Callithrix jacchus: one gene and its partner. The protein of the gene in region 1 purifies or fractionates together with the protein of each later gene. This does not show direct contact. Links are inferred from orthologs where the notes say so. Each region holds a gene or a part of one and is shown in the gene's direction. Other genes may lie near its edges.

Evidence for each region.
Region 2: the proteins of SMARCA4 (region 1) and SS18L1 purify together in Homo sapiens (affinity purification with mass spectrometry; 3 studies listed by BioGRID and IntAct, with this or other methods). This does not show direct contact. The link is inferred for Callithrix jacchus from reciprocal best matches to the Homo sapiens genes SMARCA4 and SS18L1.

Annotation. Positions count from the first base shown.
Region 1 is NC_133523.1:10,213,388-10,220,469, forward strand, and holds the end of SMARCA4 (SWI/SNF-related matrix-associated actin-dependent regulator of chromatin subfamily A member 4), read left to right. Parts: intron 1-1,154; coding exon 1,155-1,287; intron 1,288-1,446; coding exon 1,447-1,589; intron 1,590-3,714; exon of another isoform or gene 3,715-3,802; coding exon 3,803-3,835; 3' UTR 3,836-4,264; downstream 4,265-7,082. UniProt on the Homo sapiens protein: ATPase involved in transcriptional activation and repression of select genes by chromatin remodeling (alteration of DNA-nucleosome topology).
Region 2 is NC_133506.1:57,733,229-57,740,407, forward strand, and holds the end of SS18L1 (calcium-responsive transactivator), read left to right. Parts: intron 1-3,469; coding exon 3,470-3,589; intron 3,590-5,088; coding exon 5,089-5,303; 3' UTR 5,304-5,418; downstream 5,419-7,179. UniProt on the Homo sapiens protein: Transcriptional activator which is required for calcium-dependent dendritic growth and branching in cortical neurons. Recruits CREB-binding protein (CREBBP) to nuclear bodies.

The DNA of each region.
Region 1 (7,082 bases):
GTGAGCCAAGGTCATGCTGTTGAACTCCAGCCTGGGCAACGAGAGTGAAACCCAGTCTCAAAACCAAAAAACCACCACCACCAAAAAGAACCACACAATTCCTGCAAGGTGTGGTGGTTCATGCCTGTAATCCCTGCACTTTGGGAGTCTGAGGCAGGAGGATCACATGAGACCAGGAGTTCAAGACCAGCCTGGGAAACATAGCAAGACCCTGTCTCAAAAAAATTTTTTTTAATTTCGAACAACTTGGGATATTTTAGTAATTACAAAAACCATGAGTATTTACTGAAGAAAATAAAGATAGGCACAACAGAAGAAGTAGACAGAGTCCTCTGTCTGTTGGAATTTTATTTAAATTCCTTGGGGCACACTGTCTTCAAAGGAACGCTATGGATGTGTTCTTGCCCGTGATGGAATTGACACACATACACAGCCTCAGCTTGGCAAAGTTCTCTTAGTGTGTTTGGGATCAATACCCCTCAGAAAAACAGATTTGATTTTGATGAATTTGGGGAAGATGCTGGCTTCCACACGGAGCTTGCATTTTTTTTTTTTTTTTTTACACGGAGTCTTACTCTGTCACCCATGCTGGAGTGATCTCAGCTCACTGCAACCTCAACCTCCTGGGTTCAAGTGATTCTCCTGCCTCAGCCTCCAGAGTAGCTGGGACTATAGACACCTGCCACCACACCCAGCTATTTTTGCATTTTTAGTAGAGATGGGGTTTTACCATCTCTACTAAATGGTAAGGATGCTTACCATTGGCCAGGAGGCTCTTGATCTCTTGACCTCCTAATCCTCCTGCCTGGGCTGGGATTACAGGCGTGGGCCACCTCGCCCAGCCCTAGGGGCATGCATTTCTAATGTTATTGCAGACCTTCTCCAGAAAGAGGAAGGCACCTGCAGCCAGTCCCAAACCAGTGTGCCTGAGCATTCATCCTGGAGCACTGCAGAAGCCTGTTGCTCTTTGGGGTACCTGTGCAGGACGATTATAGAGAGGGCCCTCCACCTTGGGTGGGCTGAAGCCCCAGCCCACTGAGACTCGTACTGGCCACTGATGAGCTGTCCAGGGGCAAAACAGGGCTGGTGCTGGGGCCAGGCAGGCAGCCCTCCCATCGGGCCCATCCACTCAAGCCCCTGGTGTCTCCACCCAGATCTATGAAGACTCCATCGTCCTGCAGTCAGTCTTCACCAGCGTAAGGCAGAAGATTGAGAAGGAGGATGACAGTGAAGGCGAGGAGAGTGAGGAGGAGGAAGAGGGCGAGGAGGAAGGCTCCGAATCTGAGTGTGAGTCCCTCGGGGGTTCAGGATGCCAGGGTTCACGCTGGTCTGAGAGCCCCCAAGGCCCCAGCTGTTCACAGCCCTCCCAGCTCCCAGATGCCCCTTGCTGTAGAGGTGCTGTGTTCCCAGAGCTCACAGCTCCCTTTTCCTTCTGGTCCCCTCCAGCTCGATCTGTCAAAGTGAAGATCAAGCTTGGCCGGAAGGAGAAGGCACAGGACCGGCTGAAGGGCAGCCGGCGGCGGCCGAGCCGAGGGTCCCGAGCCAAGCCGGTCGTAAGTGACGATGACAGTGAGGAGGAACAAGAGGAGGTGAGGCTGGGCCCCGGGGCAGGCGGGGCAGGTGGGGCAGGCAGGGCTGGCGGGCAGCAGGAGGCAGCCCAGGGCCCTGACGGGATGGCCCTACGGGGCAATACTCCCACTCTGCAGATGGGGAAACTGAGGCTTCACGTTCCATGGCTGGCCCGTGGTCACACAGCAAGTACGTGGCAGAGCTGCCACTTAAGCCCAGGCCTGTGTGACCCTAAAACCAGCTATCAATACCTGTGCATGTCTGGGGACTGGGGGACCTGAGGTCTCAGGATGGACAGGAGGTGGGCCTAGGGCACCAGCGTCTGGGGTGAGGCTGGGCAGGCCAGGGGTTGATTGGGGTCAGGTGGGAGGTGCCAGGATTGAGGACCCACCAGGCAGTGCCCCATCTCCTTAGTGGCACACAGTGGAAAGTTTCTGGGGGGGCAGTGGGGGAGCCTGAACAGATACATTTACTGGCTTTTTTTGAGACAGAGTCTCACTCTATTGCCAGGCTGGTATGCAGTGGCATCATTTCAGCTCACTGCAACCTGTACCTCCTGGCTTCAAGCGATTCTTCTGCCTCAGCTGTCACCCCAAGTAGCTGTGACTACAGGCACATACCACCACGCCCCATGATTTTTTTGTATTTTAGTAGAGATGGTGTTTCACCGTTTGGCCAGGATGGTCTCGATCTCCTGACCTTGTGATCCACCCGCCTCGGCCTCCTAAAGTGCTGGGATTACAGGTGTGAGCCACTGCGCTTAGCCCCCTTGCTAGCTATAAATAAGATACGTCGTCTTTGTCTCTGGCCCTTCCTGGCTATGGGACCTGGCAGGCCACTCTGCTTCTGAAAGCTTCAGCTTCCTCTTAGCAAACAAGGAGGCTGCGTGGATTATGGGGGCTGCCCCCGCTCGAGGCCTGGCTCCCACCAAAGCCTGATGAATGCCATTTGGTCATTACAGAAGTAGGAAATGTCTGTGCCTGGGAATTAGTCTGACAAAACAGGCACGTGACCTTTGAGGACATTCATGAAGTCCTCATGGGGAAGGGAGGCCCGTGTGTCAGACAGGAGGGTCTGGGCTGTAGTGGCATCTCTCTTGCCCAACCCAGAACAGCGTGTTTTATGGCCCATGCCAGGCTTAAAAAGGCTTTATGAGGCCGGGCATGGTGGCTCACGCCTATAATCCCAGCACTTTGGGAGGCTGAGGCGGGTGGATCACAAGGTCAAGAGATCGAGACCATCCTGGTCAACAAGGTGAAACCCCGTCTCTACTAAAAATACAAAAATTAGCTGAGCATGATGGTGCACACCTGTAGTCCCAGCTACTCGGGAGGCTGAGGCAGGAGAATTGCTTGAACCCAGGAGGCAGAGGTTGCGGCGAGCCGAGATTGTGCCATTGCACTCCATTCTAGGTAACAACAGCAAAACTCCGTCTCCAAAAAAAAAAAAAGGCTTTATGAGGCCAGGCCTGGTGGCTCACACCTGTTAATCCCAGCACTTTGGGAAGCTGAGGCAGGAGGATTACTTGAGCCTGGGAGGTAGAGGCTGTAGAGAGCCATAATCGCACCACTGCACTTCAGCCTGGGCAACAGAGCAAGACCCTGTCTTAAAAAAAATTTTTTTTTTTTTTTTTTTAATAAAAATAAAAGGACTGGGCACGGTGGCTCGTGCTTGTAATCCCAACACTTTGGGAGGCCAAGGCGGGTGAATCACAAGGTCAGGAATTCAGAACCAGCTTGAACTACATCGTGAAACCTGTCTCTACTAAAAATATAAAAATTAGCCAGGTGTGGTGGCACACGCCTGTAATCCCAGCTACTCAGGAGGCTGAGGCAGGACAATTGCTCGAACCCAGTAGGCGGAGGTTGTAATGAGCCAAGATCGCACCACTACACTCTGTCTCAAAAAAAAAAAAAAAATTACATGAAAGCGCAAAGATCTTTCGCAGTCAGGAAGAGCCAAAATGTTTTGGAAGCTGTAGGTCAGGGGCCCAAGGCCAGGCAAGTGACATGGGACAGAGCAGGGAAGGCACATGGAGCCTCACGGGTCCCAAGAGAGTGAGTGTGGGCACAGGGACTGCTGCTCTAGAGAAACATGAAGTTGGGGTGTGGCCGTGGTTGCGGCAGCTTCTGTGGCCAGCGTCAGTTTTTTTTTTCTTGAGCAAGTTTATTTAATGCTTGGCAGGCCTCTGGCAGGGGCAGCTAACACTCACTCTCTCCTGTCTCCTCTCCAGGACCGCTCAGGAAGTGGCAGTGAGGAAGACTGAACCCCGACATTCCAGTCTCGACCCCGAGCCCCTCGTTCCAGAGCCGAGATGGCATAGGCCTTAGCAGTAACGGGTAGCAACAGACGTAGTTTCAGACTTGGGATAAAACTGTATAAACAAAAGAATCTTCCATATTTATACGGCAGAGAAGCTGTAGGACTGTTTGTGACTGGCCCTGTCCTGGCATCAGTAGCGTTTGTAACAGCATTAACTGTCTAACAGAGAGAGAGAGAGAATTCGGAATTGGGGAACACACGATACCTGTTTTTCTTTTCCTTTCCCGGCAGTTTGGAGTCACTGTAGTTCAGCGTGGATGCATGTGCGTCACCGTCCACTCCTCGTACTGTATTTTACTGGACAGGTCAGACTCGCCGGGGTATGTCAGTGTCACTGGATGTCAATCAGTAATAAATTAAACCAACAACAAAACGCACAGCCTACAGGTGGACTCATGCCTGGCTCCCCGGGTTTCTGCCAGCAGTAGTGGCGGGGCCACCTCATGTCCAGGTCCCCGTCCTCCCAGCACCAGAACCCATGGGGCCCATTTCACAGAGGAGGATCCTGAAGACGTGGCAGGGAGAGAGGACTTGCCTGGCTATGCAGGTGGCCTTTGCTGCCACAGCTCTCCAGCATGCATTCACCTGGGTCCTACGGTGCGGGGAGCAGGTGGCTCTGTCCCTTCCCTGCCTGTGGCCAGGGCTGGGTTGTGGAGACCCTCACAGAAACGGGCAGACGTCACATAGAGCTCTCGGTCAGGCCCATTCTGCAGGAAGCTCAGGGCATAAAGCGCAGGAAGCCCGGTGGTCAGGAAGGGCTTCTAAATCCAGAAAATAATTTGAGGTTTTCTTTTTTGTTTCTTTTTTGACACGAAGTCTGTGTCGCCCAGGCTAGAATGTAGAGGCGTGATCTCGGCTCACTGCAACCTCTGCCTCCCAAGTTCAAGCCGTTATCCTGCCTCAGCCTCCTGAGGAGCTGGTGTTAAAGGCCACCATGCCCAGCTAATTTTTTGTATTTTTAGTAGAGACTGGCTTTCATCATGTTGGCCAGGCTGCTCTGAAACTCCGACCTCAGGTGATCCACCCGCCTTGGCCTCCCAAAGTGCAGAGAATAGCCTGGCCATTAATTTTTGTGTTTTTCTTAGAGGCGGGGTGTCAGCATGTTACCCAGGCTGGTCTCGAACTCCTGAATTCAAGCAATCCTCCTACCTCACCCTGTTTTATAAATCAAGACAGGGTATTGCTCTGTTGCCCAGGCTGGAGTGCAGCAATGCAGTCAGCTCACTACAGCCTCAATTCAGAGCTCAGATAATCCTCCTCCTGCAGCCTCCACAGTATCTGGGTCCACAGAAGTGTGCCACCAAGCCCAGCATCGATTTTTAATAGCGGCTTTGCAGTCTTTAAGTCTGACATGTTGGCCAGGGTGGTCTTGAGCTCTTGACCTCGTGATCCATCTGCCTCAGCCTCCCCAAGTGCTGCGATTACACTGTGCTCGGCGGCTCTTGTTTTTCTTTTGAAGGAGTCACCCCTGGGTCAGCTGAGCTGAGACGTCAGTTGGTGATTGGTCAGAACTTTCGTCCAAACGCTGAGTTAGTGGCTCTGCCCAGGCAGTTTGCAGGCTGGCCCTACCTTTGCTTTCTGCCCGTGGTTCCTCTCGGGGTGCACTTGAGTTCTGCTGGGCAGAGACATGCATCAGGCTCTCTTTGGAGCGACCTCAGGTGATCTGCCCGCCTTGGCTTCCCCAAGTCCTGGGATTCCTGGCATGAGCCACCGTGCCTGGCAAAAAAAAAAAATTGAGATGAGTGTCGGTCTGTCACCAGGCTGGAGTGCAGTGTCACAATCTCAGCTCACTGCAACCTCTGCCGCCTGGGTTCAAGCATTTCTCCTGCCTCAGCCTCCCAAGTAGCTGGGACTACAGGCATGTGCCACCACACCCAGCTAATTTTTATATTTTTTAGTAGAGATGGGTTTTTACCATGTTGGCCTGGTAGTCTGGATCTGTTGACCTTGTGATCCACCCACCTCAGGCTCCTAATGTGCTGCGATTACAGGTGTGGGCCACCGTGCCCGGCCCAAAAAAAAATTTTTAAGGAAAATAATTTTTAAGAGAAAAAATGAGGGGAGCCTACAGAAACAACTTTGTGTGACCACCTGTGCGAAGCCCATTTGTGGGGTCCCGGGGACATATTAGCTACAGTGCAGGTGGGTGGTCCGGGCTGCAGCCCCAGCTGGCCCAGATCTCAGACATCGACCTTGGCCTGGAACCAGCTTGGTCCCTATGTGGACAGTGAGCCCAAGCCAGGGGCCTCCTTCACCCACGTGAGGTGACAGCTGCCAGCTGGCCGCTGCCCTTCCTGCCCTTGCTCACCACACGTGCCCCTCGGGCAGCTCTCTCTCTCAGTCCTGCTGCCCAGCGCCTTTCTCCAAACAACCCCCAGGGCTGCGGGACTTCATTCCTGTTTCCCACATGATGCAAGTGCGGCTCAGGGAGGTTGAACCGCTGGCCTAAGGCTACACTGATCTGAGCCGGGCTTTGGGGAGCACGCAAGTCCTCAGGGGCTGCTACCTGCTCTGGGGTCTGAAGCCAGGGACACTAAGACTTGAAGGTTAAGTGGTCCCCTGGAACCGAGTGGTGGACTAAGCAATGGGGGAACAGGTGGGTGTGTCCCCAGGAGTGGCTTCCACAAGACACGACTGAGTGGGACCTTAAAGCTGAAGCATCGACGGTCAAGGCATGATGGGAGCCCATGGGGTGCCCTGACACGGCCTGGACTAGGAGGGGTACTAGGAAGAATAGGGACCTCACACCTGGTAGGTGGCCAGGTTCTTTCCCATCCCACAGGCTCTCCTAGAGTTTTTTTTTTTTAAACAGTATTGCTCTGTCGCCCAGAATGGAGTACAGTGGCGCCAGAGCTTCCAGCGTAGCTGGGACTACAGGCACACACCCACGCCCAGTTAATTTTTGTGGGTTTTTTGTTTTTTGAGATGGAATCTTTTTTTTTTTTGAGGCGGAGTTTCGCTCGTTACCCAGGCTGGAGTGCAATGGTGCGATCTCGTCTCACCGCAACCTCCACCTCCTGGGTTCAGGCAATTCTCCTGCCTCAGCCTCCTGAGTAGCTGAGATTACAGGCACACGCTACCATGCCCAGCTAATTTTTGTATTTTTAGTAGAGACGGGGTTTCACCAAGTTGACCAGGATGGTCTCGATCTCTTGACGTCGTGATCCACCCGCCTTGGCCTCCCAAAGTGC
Region 2 (7,179 bases), on another chromosome or scaffold:
ACTGGGGGACGCATCATAGCCACCTTCAAGCACAGTTGTGGCCCATGGTACAGTGGAGAGGCTGGGGGACGTTAGGAGGAATAGGTCAAAGGCACCATAAAGAACTTTCCAGGCCGGGCGCGGTGGCTCCCACCTGTGATCCCGGCATCAGGCCAGGCACGATGGCTCCCACCTCTGATCCCAGAATCACGCTGGGCGCGGTGGCTCCCACCTGTGATCCCAGCATTGTGAGGGCCAGGGCAGAGGATTGTGTGAGCCTGGGAAGTTGAGACCAGCCTAGACAACATAGTGAGACCCCATCTCTACTAAAAATCAGAAAAATTAGCCAGATATGGTGGCAAGCGCCAGTTGTCCCAGCTACTTGGGAGGCTGAGGCGGGAGCATAGCTTGAGCCCAGGGGCTCAAGGCTGCAGTTAACTGTGGTTGCACCACTGTGCTCCAGCCTTGATAATAGAGGGAGACCCTGTCTTAAAAAAAAGAGGGAGAGAATGTGCCAACTTTGAGTCATCCCTCGTCAGACAGGCTGGGGCTGGAATTGTTCCTGGTGACAGCATCTATTAGGAGCCTGCAGAATCCAGTAAAACAGGAGGGTGCTCATGCACAGGGCACCAGTAATAGGAGGGGACCAGAGTGGGGCCGACCAAGCTGGGAGGGGACACCAGGGGCCATGGGGCCACGCATGCTGGGCAGGAGCATTGGGATGTGCGTGGTGGGGGAGAGGCCCAGGTGGAGTACAAGCCCTGCACTTGCATGGAAGTGAGGTTTGCAGTGGCTCAGAGACTGCACAGAGCCTGGCCCCTCGTGACCTGGCTGCTGGGCACCATGGCCCTTAGGAGAGACCGCCCCATGAGCTGCAAGAGCCGGGTGTGGAGCTGGATGGGATGCGCCCTCTCTGTGAAAATGCAAGGAAGATGAGACTGTACACTTGCGCACACGCACGCTCACGCTATCGACCAACTGGACAAACACCAAAACAACTAACAGAAACGCTTACAGTGGAAGACGGGGTTAGGCTAGAGCAGGGGTGGACATGGCCTCCTTTCCAGGACCTCTTGAAGGTGTGGGTCTGTCTGCATTTACCTTTGAATCATGTGGATGTGCTGGCAGCTTCAGGAGCGAACCATTACTGGGGCCGAGAACAGTGGCTCATCCCTATAATCCCAGCACTTTGGGAGGCTGAGGCAGGTGGATCACTTGAGGTCAGGAGTTTGAGACCAGCCTGGCCAACATGGTGAAACTCCATCTCTACTCAGAAATAGAAAAATTAGCCAGGCGTGGTGGCATGGGTCTGTAATCCCAGCTTCTTGCAAGGCTAAGGTAAGAGAATCAGTTGAACCTGGGAGGCAGAGGTTGCAGTGAGCTGAGATCACCCAAGTGCACTGCAGCCTGGGGCGACAGAGGCGAGATTCCATCTGGAAAAAAAGGAACATCATTGGCTGTCACAGAAACTGAAAGGACCCTACCTTATGGCTGTCCATACCTCCTGGAGTCCCAAGAGCACCCGGCGTGTGTGTGTTTCACAGGCTGTCGCCAGGTGGTGACCAGCGTGTCCTGGAGTGGACGACGGGGTGGGGAGGCCGGGGCTACCTTGGCTGCATCCTTGTGTGGATCACTGTATTTATGTGACGGCTCTGAGCTGCCCATTCACTTATTCCTTGTGGCCAATTGTGACCGCATCGTGCTCCTTCTGAGCAAGCAGAGGAGGCAACGTAACCAGGCACGTTCTGGCCTGTTGTTACACAGATGCACCAGGCTGCCCAGCACCTTCTCACAGACGCCCCGCAGAATGCCAGAGGTATTTAGAGAAAGAAAAGGAAGAACCATGGAGTATTTGCTGGTTGCAGAGGAAAGGCCCCATATCTACCCACCCCATTGCTTTCCTGTCAAGAGCACAGCCTGGGCTCCCCCGGCTCTGCTGGTTTCATGAAACATATCTGAAAACAGCAAAGGTCTTTTCCACAGCCTTTGTGCCCCCTTTCCCTGCAGAGTTATCTCAGCAGCCCCCTTTCTCAGGGGATAGGGCAGCTGCTGCCCGTTCACAGTAGATCGGCTGAGCACCCACGGGGGTGTGAGAGCCAGGCCTGGTCCCTGTGGACTGGGGCTGTGTGTTCTAGGCTGGCACTTGCACAGTTGTTGTGTGCCGGCTATGTGCCAGGGCAGAGCTGGCCCATTTCCTGCAAACTGGCTCCTTAATTATATAAAGAATAAAGTGGGCTATAAAACATGAGGATATGCAGGCTGACACCTCTGAGAAACCCCCCATATCAGATGGCTTTCCTGGGGGCAGGATTGAGAACAGCGACCTTAAGTCCTCCCACGTGATGATGACAGCTCGTTTGCCAGCTGTCACTGGAACCGGCCCTGGATTTTGAGGGAGGTATGGAAGTTCAGGACTCAAGGGATTTCCTGGATGAAGAGTAACTGGGAAGGCTTAAGCAGGTTTCTCCAAAGTTCTCACCTTAGGGAGGAGCTCAACCTGGAATAAAAGCAGGTGTTTTGTCATCCCATCTAACCACAGGTTGAGTTACCCTGATGGGTTTTTAAGCTATTCCAATGTGCATCATCTCAATAAAGCTGTTATTTTAAAAAATACATTACTAGATTCCAGTTTTAAAATACTTAAATTTTACAGCTTCTGAAAAAGGAAAGTTATTTCCAACCAGACAAGTAAAATAGGAAAATTGACTCTTTGCATGGAGCATGGTGGCATACGCCTGTAATCCCAACGGTTTGGAAGGCCGGTGCAGCAGGCTTGCTTGAGGTTAGCCTGGGAAACATAAGGAGACCCTGTCTCTACAAAAGATTTAAAAATTATCTGGGCATGCTGGTACATACCTATAGTCCTAGCTACTCAGGAGGCTCAAGTCAGAGGATCACTTGAGCCAGGGAGATTGAAGCTGCAGTGAGCTTTGATGGCACCACTGCACTCAAGCCTGGGTGAGAGAGTGAGGGCCTGTCACTGAAAAAAATAAAATTATGTCTGCACAGACTCTATGCCCAGATAAGGTCCCATTCGCAGGCCCTTGGCTCACTTGAGCCCTGGAGGTGGAGGCAGAGGCTGCAGGGAGCCGAGATTGCGCCACTGCACTCCACCTGGTGACAGAGTGAGTTATTAATAATAACTTGGCTTTATCAGTTCTTTCTGAATCCTTTGACTGAGTCCTCCCAGGACTTCAGCATCTCTCTGGGGAGCACTGTTCCGCCCACAATGCTGGCGTTCGTCTCTGTCTTAGTTGTCGCGTTAACAGTTTCATTTCTTAGCTTTCCATTTGTATTTCCGTAAGATAAGAAAAAGGTATAGTTTAGTATTTGAATCGTTGTGAGAAAGTGTACATGCCAAAGCCACAGATTTGGTTTTGGAATTCCAGAGTTAACGTGTCGTGAGCTGCTCAAAGAATGCGCTGCCTTAGCCTGGACGGCTCCTATAGCCTGCGCAGGAAGTCAGCTACGTGTCTCCTTCTCCCTCCAGGGAACTCTCAGTACAGCCAGCAGCAGGCCGGGTACCAGCAGGGCGCCGCGCAGCAGCAGGCCTACTCCCAGCAGCAGTACCCCAGCCAGCAGAGCTACCCCGGGCAGCAGCAGGGCTACGGTAAGCGGGGCATGTTCCTCAGGGCCCCCCAGCGCACACAGACACGTGTGCAGCAACCCTGGTACATAGGCAGATGTGTAATCAGCTTCTTATTTTGAATAGCTTTAGGTTTCCAGAGAAGTTGGGAACATCCATGCATGTCGGCCTGAAACATTGTAACTTAAACATCAACATAAATTCATTGCCCAAGCAGCCTGTGAGGGAGCCAGTGTCCTGTCCATCCGCCACCTGCACGCTCCATGCCCAGCTTCAACCTCTTTGACAGAGCAGGTCAAAGCCTGTGGGTCTCGGCATTCACTGCAGCTTAGAATCACCCAGGAAGCTTCTGAAAAATAAGGTCTGGGGCTGCCCCAGATCAGTCTGTGCAAAATCTCAGTTCTCAGGATGAGCCTCACCCACGTGACTTCTTGTGAGACTCATGCATGATTCTGCTGTGGTGAGGAAGGAGAGGCCCTGTTAAAGGTTGCTCACCCTTTAGGGCCATCGCTAATTAAATAGTAGTTTAAATATCACTTGAGGAGGCTGGGAACAGCGGCTCACCCCTATAATTCCAGCACTTTGGGAGGCAGAGGCGGGCAGATCACCTGAGGTCAGGGGTTCAAGACCAGCCTGACCAATATGGCGAAACCCCATCTTTTTTTTTATTTTTAATTAATTAAAAATAAATTAGCCAGGCATGGTGGTGTGTGCCTGTAATCCCAGCTACTAGGGAGGCTGAGACAGGAGAATTGCTTGAACCTGGAAGATGGAGGTTGCAGTGAGCCAAGGTCGTGCCACTGCACTCCAGCCTGGGTGACAGAGCGAGACTCTGTCTCAAAATAAAAAGAACTTGAGGCTCATTGTGGTGGCTCATGTCTATAATCACAGCACTTTGGGAGGCTGAAGCCGAAGGACTGATTGAGGCCAGGAGTTTGAGACCAGCCTGGGTGACATAGTGAAACCATCTCTACAAAAAAATACAAAAACGAGCCGGCATGGTGGTGTACTTCTGTGGTTCCAGCTACTTGGGAGGCTGAAGCAGGAGAATCACTTGAGCCCAGAAGGTGGAGGTTGCCATGAGCCAAGATCATGCCACTGCACTCCATCCTGGGTGACAGAGTGAGACCCTGTCTCAAAAAAAAAATTACTTGGCCTTCATCAGTCCTCTCCAAAGCCTTTGACTTAGGCTTCCTAGAGACGATGCCTCTGTAAGTTTTCCGCAGCTCCTGTGATAGTTAACTTAGAGCAGCCAGTGTGACTGGCACCAGCGGGTTCTGGAGGGCTCTCCTGCTCCTCCATCTTTGGGTAGCAGCAGCTCAGGGGTGATGCAGAGAGGCCGTCAGTGCCCCCATGCTGGTGGCAGGCTTGGGGCACAGTCCTGCAACCTCACAGGACTGGAGGGGCTGGTGAGTTGGTTGTGTGCTGCTCTCGCCATACGGAGTTAACGTGAAGCTCCTGCCGGTGCAGAAAGACGGATGCACCCATTTTGGCCTGCCTCACGGTTTCTGCTGTTTTCTCAGGGCCTGCCCAGGGAGCCCCCTCGCAGTACCCCGGCTACCAGCAAGGCCAAGGCCAGCAGTACGGAAGCTACAGAGCACCGCAGACGGCACCCTCTGCCCAGCAGCAGCGGCCCTACGGCTATGAGCAGGCAAGCTTTTTGGATGTTAACAGATGTGCCTGTCCGCCTTGCCTATTGAGACTTAATGAAGATTTCTCTTATGGCCATGAGGAATAATGAGCTAGAACTAACTGGCTTCCAGGGTTCCTTCCAGAATGTTAAGTCTCTGAGCCTGTAAGGTTTTTCAGAATTATTTCTGTGTACATGCTCACCTCAGTCATGCAGCAGCTTTTCATGCCCTAAACTTACTGTTAATCTGCATGCCTGGTTCTCCCATTCATTCCTTCACTCTGCCCACATTTGTTGTGTACTGGGCACACGGCAGGTCTCTGCTGGGTGCCTGGCATGTGGCCATGATATGAACCCTGTGCTTTTAGAACTTATGTCTTGTTCTGGAGACTGTCACTTGTCCGATGGGGCCAGACCTTGCTGAGCACGGATCGGGGAGCCCCTAGTGGAGCCTGCCTTCCAGTGCAGGCGGCCACATTTGACCAGTGTGGACAGTTCCAGAAGGAAGACACAGTGGGGAGTGGTGGGCAGCCGCAGGCTCAGCCCAGGGAAGGGGGAGCCCTTTCTGTCCAGGGACAGTGATCAGGGCTTTGAAAGAGCTAAGGAAAGAGCACCTTGGAAGCGAGAATAGTGGGAGCTCCCAGGACAGTAAGGAGGCCAGCGTGGCAGGAGGCGACAGGGATAGGTGGGCGTGGGGGCCCCCATAAAGGAGACATCACTGTCACTCTGAGTGGGACGGGGCCACTAGAGGAGGACAGGGTCTGTGTGGTGGGAGCACTGCGGGGGCAAGGGTCTCCCACAGGAGAATGAGCCAGGCACAGGAAGGGGCGTGCCAAGGTCCTGAGGCAACAGGTGGTTTGTCCCAGTGAAGGCAGCACAAAGGACGCTTGGTGGCTGGAGCAAGGGGCATACAAAGGAGAATGATCTTGGACAATTTTTGGAGCCTCCTCTGAGAGAGTCCTTAGCAGGAAGTGGTGACTCTATGTTGGTGACTCTGCACCTTTGGCCTCCACCCACAATGCCAGTAGCACACACATCGCCCAGTCTGACAGGGTGTCTCCAGACATTGCCGGATGTCCCCGGGGCATGCTGAAAAGTGTGCTGAGGCTTTGGGGTTGCCTGCGGGTTCCCAGGGCTCGGGCTGCTCAGCTCCTCGCCTGAGCAGCTCTGGATTCGAGACTTTCTGTCTTACCCAGTGGTGCAGGGGCAGAAAGACATCGGAACAGACTCCTGCTGGCTAGGGTCCTCAGAGCAGCTCTGAATGAGAATGTGGCAGCCTGTGTTCCGTCAGGAATGTGATGTCTGGATTCTCGGTCAGGCCAGGGCGACTTTCTTCCCTCCCCTCCCTCACTGTGGGCACTCAGGAAATCTGATGGTTACCTAGCTGGGGGCACATGGAGAATCAGGCCTGCAGACGTCGATTCGTGCCTTCCTCCATGGCAGTCCTCTGATTGGCTTTCATCACAGGTCTCGTGCTCCATTTGGCTCCTAAGGAATTCTCGGTCTTGTGGCCTTGCGGGCCGTGGGCTCTCTAGTTCTCTCTTCATGTTTTGAGACGGGGTCTTGCTGTTGCCCGGGCTGGAGTGCAGCAGCATGATCTCGGCTCACTGTAGCCTCCGCCTCCCAGGTTCTACTGATTCTCCTGTCTCAGCCTCCCAAGTAGTTGGGTTTACAAGCGTGTGCCACCACTACCGGCTAATTTTTTATTTTTAGTAGAGATAGGGTTTTGCCATGTTGACCAGGCTGGTCTCGAACTCCTGACCTCAGGTGATCCGCCCACTTAGGACTCCTATAGTGCTGGGATTATAGGTGTGAGCCACTATGCCCAGCTTGGATTGCTGGTGTGAGCCACTGTGCCCAGCCTTTTTTTGTTGTTGTTATTGTTTTAAGACAGAATATCACTCTGTTGCCCAAGCTGGAGTGCACTGGCATGAACACGGCTCACTGCAGCCTCAACCTCCTGGACATGCACCATAACATGTGG